2 linked regions of the Caenorhabditis elegans genome follow. The protein of the gene in region 1 purifies or fractionates together with the protein of each later gene. This does not show direct contact. Each region holds a gene or a part of one and is shown in the gene's direction. Other genes may lie near its edges. The genes, in order: T03F1.11 and sur-5.

The links.
Region 2: the proteins of T03F1.11 (region 1) and sur-5 fractionate together in Caenorhabditis elegans (co-fractionation; one large-scale study listed by BioGRID). This does not show direct contact.

The regions. Positions count from the first base shown.
Region 1 is NC_003279.8:3,851,822-3,854,897, forward strand, and holds T03F1.11 (EF-hand domain-containing protein), read left to right. Parts: upstream 1-1,988; 5' UTR 1,989-2,031; coding exon 2,032-2,044; intron 2,045-2,101; coding exon 2,102-2,334; 3' UTR 2,335-2,412; downstream 2,413-3,076. Other genes in the region: tfbm-1 (Dimethyladenosine transferase 1, mitochondrial), read right to left, coding at 2,425-2,590.
Region 2 is NC_003284.9:7,300,638-7,307,313, reverse strand, and holds sur-5 (Acetoacetyl-CoA synthetase), read left to right. Parts: upstream 1-1,743; 5' UTR 1,744-1,744; coding exon 1,745-1,964; intron 1,965-2,118; coding exon 2,119-2,222; intron 2,223-2,307; coding exon 2,308-2,428; intron 2,429-2,475; coding exon 2,476-2,799; intron 2,800-2,849; coding exon 2,850-3,001; intron 3,002-3,044; coding exon 3,045-3,229; intron 3,230-3,649; coding exon 3,650-3,816; intron 3,817-3,877; coding exon 3,878-3,978; intron 3,979-4,033; coding exon 4,034-4,169; intron 4,170-4,716; coding exon 4,717-5,026; intron 5,027-5,225; coding exon 5,226-5,382; intron 5,383-5,428; coding exon 5,429-5,554; 3' UTR 5,555-5,925; downstream 5,926-6,676. UniProt on the Caenorhabditis elegans protein: Activates acetoacetate to acetoacetyl-CoA. Negatively regulates let-60 Ras activity during vulval induction.

The DNA.
Region 1 (3,076 bases):
ATGTCCCGCAATGATGATCCAGTTGTTACTTCGAACGGTTCCAGTACTGATGTCAATCGTGGAAGCCGAATCACAAGTGAACTAAAGAAGAAAGAAAGCAATGCAGTCAGAGGACAGCCACGTGGATCCTGCTCTCCAACCAACAACGACGTTTCGGCGCCCGGATACGCCTCACGTTCTCACCCGACCACCGACCCAAGCCATTCCGTAAGACGAAGTTCGCGAATTCGACGAGTACCGGACAGATATGGTTCATCTGTGGAGCACCCTTCAACCTCCACCGGAACTCCGCGAGGATCGACATCCACACAGCTCGGTCAAGCCTCCACTCGCAACGGAAGTCGATATACAGCTTCTGGTCGAAACCCCTCTTCCCAAGGGAATCGCTATTCGTCAATAAGGGGGGAAGGTGTTACGGCGAGACGTGAACGTGTTCGCACTACTTGGCGATAACAACTCGACAATAAGAAGCACGTGAACTCTCGAACTCTCTTATTATTATTTCACGTATTATCCACATGTACATTCCTTGATCGATCCATCATATTCGATCATTCCTCACTATTCTATCATCCTCTTCTGCTTTCTAATAAAGCTTCTTCTATTCTTATTACAAATTGAATATATAACACTTATCTTTTCGTGTACATATATTTTTACAAAAATACAACACTAATAACCAATTGATCCCCTCTCCTTGTCTCTTTTGTCAGGATTTCTGTCTATTCGGGACGGGATATACGCGCGAGTGTTTCCAAACAAATAAATAGAGGACGTTTTTCGTGGAATGCTCCTCAAGTTTCGGGTCGAGTGGCGAGAGATGGACTGTCTAGAGATCAAGAGAAAGACGATTTTTTAAACAGTTACACTGATAATCATTAGAAATATCACGTTTGGATCGAAAAAATTATAATTAACATGTCGCGATTTCCTCTTCTAAAGTTTTCAAATAATCCAAAACACATAAGATTTTGTGATTCATGACTTTTTCTGCTCTCGACACGACTGAAACATAGGTAATTAGGGAGGCTGCGAAAAAGTGTGCGCCTTTAAGATGTATAGTAGTGCAATTTTCTTAAAGATGCCCTTAAAGACGCATACTTTTTTGTAGCATCTAAAATTTAAAATTTCTGTCGCGTCGAGACCTGTTAGGCGCCGAATTTGTCTAACGGCTAAAAGCGATATTTCAGAAGACTGATGAATGATTTTTTAGAAACTTTAAATTTCTGTGCAAAAATCCCTGCCAACATGGTGTTCTACGCATTTCTTTCATACGCCAAAAAACCAAAGTTCACGACAAATTGCACAAAATAGGCGGTAGGCAGGCTGGCAGGCATAATGTTGGCGGCAACTACTATATTGCGGGAACGAAAATTCTTCAGAGGGTTCTGAGAATGCGTATTGAGCAGAATATCTCGTAACGAAAACTACAGTAATTCTTTAAATGACTATTGTATCGCTGGTGTCGATTGACGGGCTCCATTTTGACATAAATCAAAAAATTATAAAAAAAATGCCCGTAAATCGACACAAGTGCTACAGTAGTCATTTAAAGAGGTACTGTAGTTTTCGCTACGAGATATTTCGCGCGTCAAATATGTTGCTCAATACGCTCTCTCATAGATTAGTGTTCCCGTAATAATAAAATTCGAGTGACATCACACCTTTCGAAAATAAGTTTTCAGGAGATCAAACAAGATCACGATCGGGAAGTTGAAAAAAAAAAATTAAAAATGATTAATTCTGCTGAAAATCAAACCTCCATGATTCCAATTTTTCTTCGGCCTGAATTCAGGAATTCCCAATTTCTCAAAAAAAAAAGTGTCCTGTTTTCATTTGCTAATCGTCAATGTTTGACACTTACAAACAACGACTTTCGAAAATTCAAATTAGTAAAACAAACAATCAATTGACAAAACATTCTCTCTCTTTTCTTTTTCTCTGAGATGCTTTTCCATTTATTTACCCACTCGGCACCTCCTACCCGCCTCCAACGGTTTTCGAGTGAAGCTCAGTCTTGAACTTTCCGTCATGGCTACTTGGGGTGAGCTTTATCTTTTTTTTTGTTGCCAAATTCTATAAATTTTCTAATTATTTCCAGAACATGAACTCCGTGAGATGTTTTCTCTCCACGACAAGGATATGTCTGGATTCATCAGCAAAGATGATGTGATCTGCATGTTGTTGGGAGCTGAGAAGGACGATAAGAAGGATCCCGTGTTCAAGACGAACCTCAAATTTTTGATTCAAGTCATCAAGGAGGCCGACAAAGACGGAGACTCCAAAATCACTTTCGATGAGTTCAAGGAGTACATCAACAAAGTCACTTCCTAAAATTCTTTCAATTTCTTAATGTTTTATCTTTCCAAAATTTATAACAAATCTAAACAATCTCAACAATAAACAATCTATAATATAACAAAATTATGAACAATTAAAATTCTTGAGCGACCACGTGTTGTCCGCCGAGTCAATTGTCGGAGCCGGTGCAAAGATGGGTACAGGAGGTGGAAGAGCATTGGGTTCTTTTGATAAATCTTCCAGATTATGCAGCTTGTTCGTGTAGTCATAGAGGAATAAGCCCGGATATCTGAAATGAAAAATTATTGAATTTCAACTAAAAAGAATCAGAATCTTCAATTCAATTTTTAATTAGTTGGTATTGTGAAATATACTATTTTTAAAGATATTAAAGGCATTTTTATTTCAAGAAATTTCTAATTTGCAGTTCTTGAAAATGTATCGTTAAATATCTTCGAAATCATTCTCGATGTTTAAAACTTTTATTAGATGCAAATCGTGTGCGCCTTTAAAGAGTACTGTAGTTTCAAACTTTTGTTGCTCCGTTTTATTTTGCATTAAACAAAAATATGTCGTGTCAAGACCTGATACCGTACTTTTTCGGCGAAAAATACCAAAATGTGACGTTTGTGTAGTATTGAAAGAAGGTCTGTGTTTTGGTGTTTGATGCTCGAAATCGAATAATCTGTCTATTTGTCGAAACTTTCCCGGCCACGAGAGATCAATTCGCACTGATTTCTTCAAAATTGTTTCACTCACGAGTGCACATTTTGGA
Region 2 (6,676 bases), on another chromosome or scaffold:
ATGAATCATTATGGTGTTGGTCGACACATTGATCATGCTGATATCGATCAGAAAAATTAAATTTGGGCTTTTATATAGTTTCGAAAAAACACGTTTAAATTTTTGAAAAATTTTACGTTAGGGTGGAATTGAACCCCAGAGTCCCACCATGCTTGTCATCCACTCTATCCACTCGGCCATCTCGCTGTTGCAGGCAGTACTAATTGGGGATAGTGAAAAGAGTTAACGTAGAATTTCAGACGTAAAAATTTCAGATTTCCAGCCCGAATGGGCCAAAATTTCAGTCATATTCTTATAGTAGAGAATGTCAGCTTTCCGATACAATATTTTTTTTTTGAATATCGCTCCACTTATTCTGGTCATTCCCTAGTAAGTTTTTTCAGTTTTACCAGAAATAAAACCACTCATAAAAACTATAAACTACACATTTAAACTGTAAATGTTGGAAATCATTTTGACCATCAAACAATAGCTATCGGAAAATGCAAAGGCCATTCCGTGATGGCACGCTCTTCTTCTATCCATCGCTCCTTTTCAACGAAACACACACACAAACGCAGACTATTGGAAAAGAAAAATATAGAAAAAACCTTTTTTCTCCTTGTCCCTTGTGTTGATCTCACTTTTCAGTGGACGTGTGCAGTGTGGAGGCCAGAGACTGTGCTGACCGACGGACGCGCAGGCGGTAAACATACGTTGCAGTGGAGAGTGTAGTCCCTCGTCGGCTCTCTGTGTATTTCTTTCAATGCCTGTGTCTCGGTCTATCTTTGTCTCTATCTGTTTTAAAAGTTTTTTGCAAAGTTTCAATTTCTTTTTTATTTTCTCTTCTTTTTTTGCGCATTTATTTTTTTTAAAGAGCGCTGTTCTTCAATTGGAAAACAGTATAACGATCGAAATAAAAAAAAAACTTGAAATAGTATCGGAATTGAGATGGGGGCAATTGAAATTGAAGACGCAACAAAAACATGTTTTTATCGTCTGAAATTATCTAAACTTTGAATCTAACGTGTCAATGGCTACTTTTACAGTAGACTTTTTAGAGTAATGTTAAAAAGGATAATATAGGTTTTTCTTCAAACTATTTTGTCACGCCGCATATATTCTTTTCATATTCCATTCGCAAAGTGCATGATGTAACAAAAATGAAACGTCATAATTTTTTAATCTTTCACACTTTTTTTGCCGGCCGTTAAATCAAAATCAAATCAACTTAATCCAACACGTGCGGGCTTGCAATTTTATTACACCGGTGTCCTACAGCGCCATGTTATCTTCTTTGATTAGAGATCTCTCACGCAACATTTGACATTGAAAATTTTGTCTCCGAATTGTTGTGTACCTACTTTGTCCCGATGTCCCAAATTTTCACTGATAACAAGAGATATCTCAACTGTTCTTATCACGTTGATACGTAGAACGTTTTACACTAAACCAAATTGCAGTCCCCTTCTACGAACCGTTTGCTAATTGTTTTGCATAGAACAGTGATCAATGTGTTGTGCTCACTAGTCAATGATGTTCGTCTCTCATTTTTCCTACAACTTCACTGAAAAGGTTTTGAATATCTGGTGATTGTAGGCAATCACACCACAGTTAATGGCCTGGCAAATAATGATAAGCGTGTGATAAACCTCACAAAAATACGCCTAGAAGTGGTGATATCGCTAGTTTTGTGTCCTTTCGATTTTTTTCGTGTTGCTTTTTTCTGTGGATAAACCTTTGAACTTTACATTTTGTTTTCAGAATGACCGCAGTGTCTGCAAACGGAAAAACTACCGAAAAGCACGAAAATGGTGCTCACACCAATGGAACGACAAATGGAACGACGAATGGATCAATGAATGGAAATGAAATAAGCCATGTTCAGAAACTTCAGCCAGTTTATTACAAGCCGCCACAAAATTTGGAAACTTTTGAATTGTCACTCAGAAATCATTTTGAAGAGAAAACAAATAAGAAATTTGGTAATTTTTTATTTAGTAAATCATAGGTTTCAATTTTAACTCTTGATTAATTTGAAAAATCGACCTCAAATAACTGCTATTTAATATTTAACTGAAACTGTGAGCAACTAGATTTTGAAAAATGCAAAATATTCATAACATCCACATTTTTAAGCTGACTACCGTGAATTTCACCGATTCACTTGTGATAATTATGGTATTTTCTGGGAGGATTTGCTCAAATTGTCCGATGTGAAGCTTCATCAAAACTACAACCAGGTATGGTATTGGGAAACTTGTTTCCACTTCCTGGAACATTAATTTTTTATGTGTAACAGCTCGGAAACAAACAAAGTATTTTTAGGTTATCGATCATAATTTGAAAATCAACGAGAGACCGAGATGGTTCAATGGTGCTACTCTCAACTATACTGAAAATGTCATCGAAAGAGGAACCGCCACCGATATTGCTGTATTGAATGCCAGTAAGTGTTTCATGTTCCAAACGTTTATTTATCAAACAAAATTCAAGGTATCGAAGAAACAGTGACAGAATATACTTACGACAACTTGCGCAAAGATGTTTATCGCATTGCCACATCTCTTCGTAACTATGGAATCGGACCCGGAGACACTGTTTGCGGCTTTGTTCCAAACACATATGACACACTGGTGGCTGTTTTTGCCACAGCCGCTGTCGGAGCTGCCTGGTGCTCAGCGTCTGTTGATTTTGGACCTGCTGGTGTTCTTGACAGATTCAGACAAGTTCACCCCAAGGTTTTGTTCACAGTGAATCATGTGACTTACAAGAAGAAGCTCATTGATCAGACCGATAAAATTAATGAAATTGTAAAAGGTTGGTTACTTTTGTCAAATAAGAATTTAAAACAATGGTATAACTTCCAGAGCTCCCAACTCTCGAGAAAATCGTTGTATCCGACACCTTCACATCTGTAAAATTCGATGCAACAAAGTACAATCAAAGTGACAAGTTCTCATCACTCGAAGAATTCAAGACTCCCATTGCCGATGTTGTGTTGCCATTTGTATATACTCCAGTATGATTAAGATTTGAAACATTCAAAGCATGTGGATTTTTAGGTACCATTTTCCGATCCACTCTTCGTAATGTTTAGCTCAGGAACCACGGGAATTCCAAAGGCAATGGTTCACACGGTCGGAGGAACCTTGCTCAAGCACATTGAGGAGCATTTGGTGCAAGGAGATTCAAAGAAACACGATCGTATGTTTTTCTACACTACATGTGGATGGATGATGTATAATTGGTGAGATTTTGTTTTAATTAAAATTGTATTTTAATCAGCAAGAAAATACAATTTAAATAATATTAGAACACCGTAGAAACTGTCCCCTGAAATGTTTTTTTGTATTTATGTAATAATGAACTGTTGGATAAGCTTTAAAATATTGATTTTTTCTAGAGACAAAAATAATTTCCGAATAAATATTCACAGGTTGCTTTCAAGAAATAAAACATTTTGGCAATTCGCCGCAACTTTGCAACCGTTCAGTAACCTTTGGTAGTTCTTAGTGCAAATGCTTGGATGTTCCATCTTTAACTTTGTTCACTTTTGCAACTTTTTTGATTGGCGCTGCTGAAATTGATCACGAGTTTTCGGCAAATTGCTAAGATTGTACTTATTCACAATTTCAAAAATATATAACTTTAATTTTTAACATTTCAGGATGATCTCGTTCCTATACTCCAAAGGATCTGTTGTATTATTCGATGAATGCCCATTGGCTCCTGACACCCATATTATCATGAAAATCGCTGCAAAGACACAATCGACTATGATTGGAATGGGTGCGAAGCTTTATGATGAATACCTCCGACTTCAAATTCCATTCAGTAAGTATATACATATAATTTTCCTCCATTCAACACCGTTAATATGATCAACGACTTTCAGACACATTGTACGACCTTTCCAAAATACACACAGTCTACTCGACAGGTTCGCCATTGAAGAAAGAGTGCTTCGCTTATATCAACACTTATATTGCGCCAGGCGTATGTTCTTATCTTGTTCTTTTGCAACCAAATATAACACAAAGTTTTTTTATAGGCTCTCATCGCGTCGATTTCTGGAGGAACTGACATTATTGGATGCTTTGTCGGTGGTATCAAGTCATTGTCAATCACGCCAGGAGAGTGTCAGTGTTTGTTCCTGGGAATGGATATTAAGTCATTCAATTACATGGGTACGTGCAAAATGAAATGTATAAAACAATTCGGAAAAAGCTAGAACGTTATGTCGAGAATTGTACCATTTAATACTGGGGATGAAAAAAGTGGTACTGGAAAAATTTTCAATATTGGCAGACCTCGGCAAATTGCGATGTATCTCAAAAATTCTTGAAACTCTAAAAATAAAACCATGAATAATAAATAGCATAATTGTATTTCCATCGTATTTTCCAAAATCAAAAAAAAATGCCGAAATCGGTAAGACGTGCAAAAAATTGAAAAAATTGCCGAGCGCGGCAACTTCTTAATGCCCACTTTTTTTAAAAATTTTGCACAGAACCCTGGCGATTGAATAGGTGTTCGATCTTTATAAGAATAATAGGTCCATATGACAATAGGGATTACAGGCCCATATCCCAGGCGAACAACAGCAGTGTTGCAAACAAATATACATACTTTATAATGTTTATAAATAACTTTCAAAGTAGTTTTCAACATTTTTCGAAAAGTTGCGAAGAAAGATAGATCAACTTTTTTCTCCAAAAAGTATCCGAATTGCAGATGAAGAAATCATTAACTCTGACGAACAAGGAGAGTTAGTGTGTGTCACCCCATTCCCCTCAATGCCATCACATTTCTTGAATGACACGGATGGCAAGAAGTACCGTGATGCCTACTTTGCTCGCCTAGAACCATTTTGGGCTCATGGTGATTTTGTGAGAGTGAATCATTCTACGGGCGGTGTAGAAATGCTCGGAAGAAGTGATGCTACATTGAATCGCGGCGGAGTTCGAATTGGAACAGCTGAGATTTATTCGGTTGTTGAAAAAATTCCACATATTGCTGATTGCATTGTAGCTGGAAGACTTGTGTAAGTTGATCATTATGCATATTTAGAGTTTTTATTTTGCTAATAGGTATGTCACTTACTCATTCTCTTCTTTATATTAAGCTAGTTTTAATTACTTTTCTCTATTCTGCAAATAGAAATAAACAGGTCGTTGATAAATTAACTTATATTTTTTATTCTCTAGTATGGCAGAACAAACATAAGAACATTTTTTTTCCAGCGAAGAGGGCATGGACGAGGAAGTTTTGCTGTTTGTGAAAATGGTTCCGGGTCAAGAGCTCACACACAGTATCCAGGCAGCCATTGTTTCTAAACTCCGGAACGACATGTCCCCGCGACATGTTCCAAACAAAATTTACGCAGTTGATGATATTCCGGTAGCTATTTACGATTGAGATATTTGTAAAAACTTTGTTTTTTCAGTATACTTCAAGCGGAAAGAAAGTGGAAGTTGCCGTTAAGCAAATTGTGAGTGGAAAGGCCGTCCAGAAAGCGTCTTCGATTCGCAATCCAGAATCTCTTGATCATTTCGTTCAATACAGACTTTAATCTTTAATTTTATTTCAACGGTTTATTTGTTTCTGTTTCTGAAAATTATATATTCACGCTTTCCTTCTTGCTCATTGCCTGAACCTGTTTTTCTCATTCATGTCATCATCAACATCAATTTTTGAGCTTTGTGGTCCTTTACATTCTCACCTTCAAATCTAATTTAAAACTTTGTGTTAATTCATTCATATTTCCCCTTATGTTAGCACCCAGGTTTTCTTTATTTGCACCGGTTTCTCTCTCACTCCCCAACGAAATAACTCTGATTTCACTGTTCCGTCGTCATCAAAAAATAAATCCCTGTGAAATACTTTGAAAGAGGAAGAAAATTTAATGGTTTCATTATCATTAAGGAATAAACATTTTGCACTAGATGATATTTTGGGCATGTCCTCAAAAACGTTAAAATGAAGACCGTCATTGAAATAGTAGGAAATATTTTCAAAATTTCAAAAGAAAGTATTGTAAAGGTACGAGCCTAAAATGTATAAAATTAGAAGAGTTTGTTCCCATGTAAAATGTGGACATTTCTGACTCTAAAATTCTATGTTTGCTTTTGGAACACTTTATGTTACATAACACACAAATTGGAAAACAATTGCTTGAAACAGATTCAGTTGTCTTGTAATTCATTACACATTTCATTTTAATGTGATTTTGAGATAGTTAACATTTGCAAAATTGTTTTTAAAGTTTTGCAAAGATAAAAATGCATGGATAAAATAAGTACCTAGGATAAATAAATGCATAGAAAATCGGTAAAGCTAAATTTCTGAATAAGGAGTGTTTACTTTTGAGCTCCTTTTCAACAAACTTGATTTTCAAAATCACAAGTAACATCCTTGGTTTGTCCCCTTCGTCCATCTTTGTGTGTTTCAATAAGCGTTGGTGCGGCAAGACATAATAAAAAGGTTAGGCGACCAGCAGAAGCCCATCACCATTCGTATGCCAACCAAATCCTCATAACTTTTCTTCTACATTCCATCTATTCACTTTATTCTCTCAACTTTTCTTTTTGTTCTTTTTTATTATTTTTTAGGACATCAAAGGTAAACGTTTTAATTCAGAGTGCCGACCAATTAATACAACTGCCTACGTCAAGTCACGTGAAGCTAATTTACG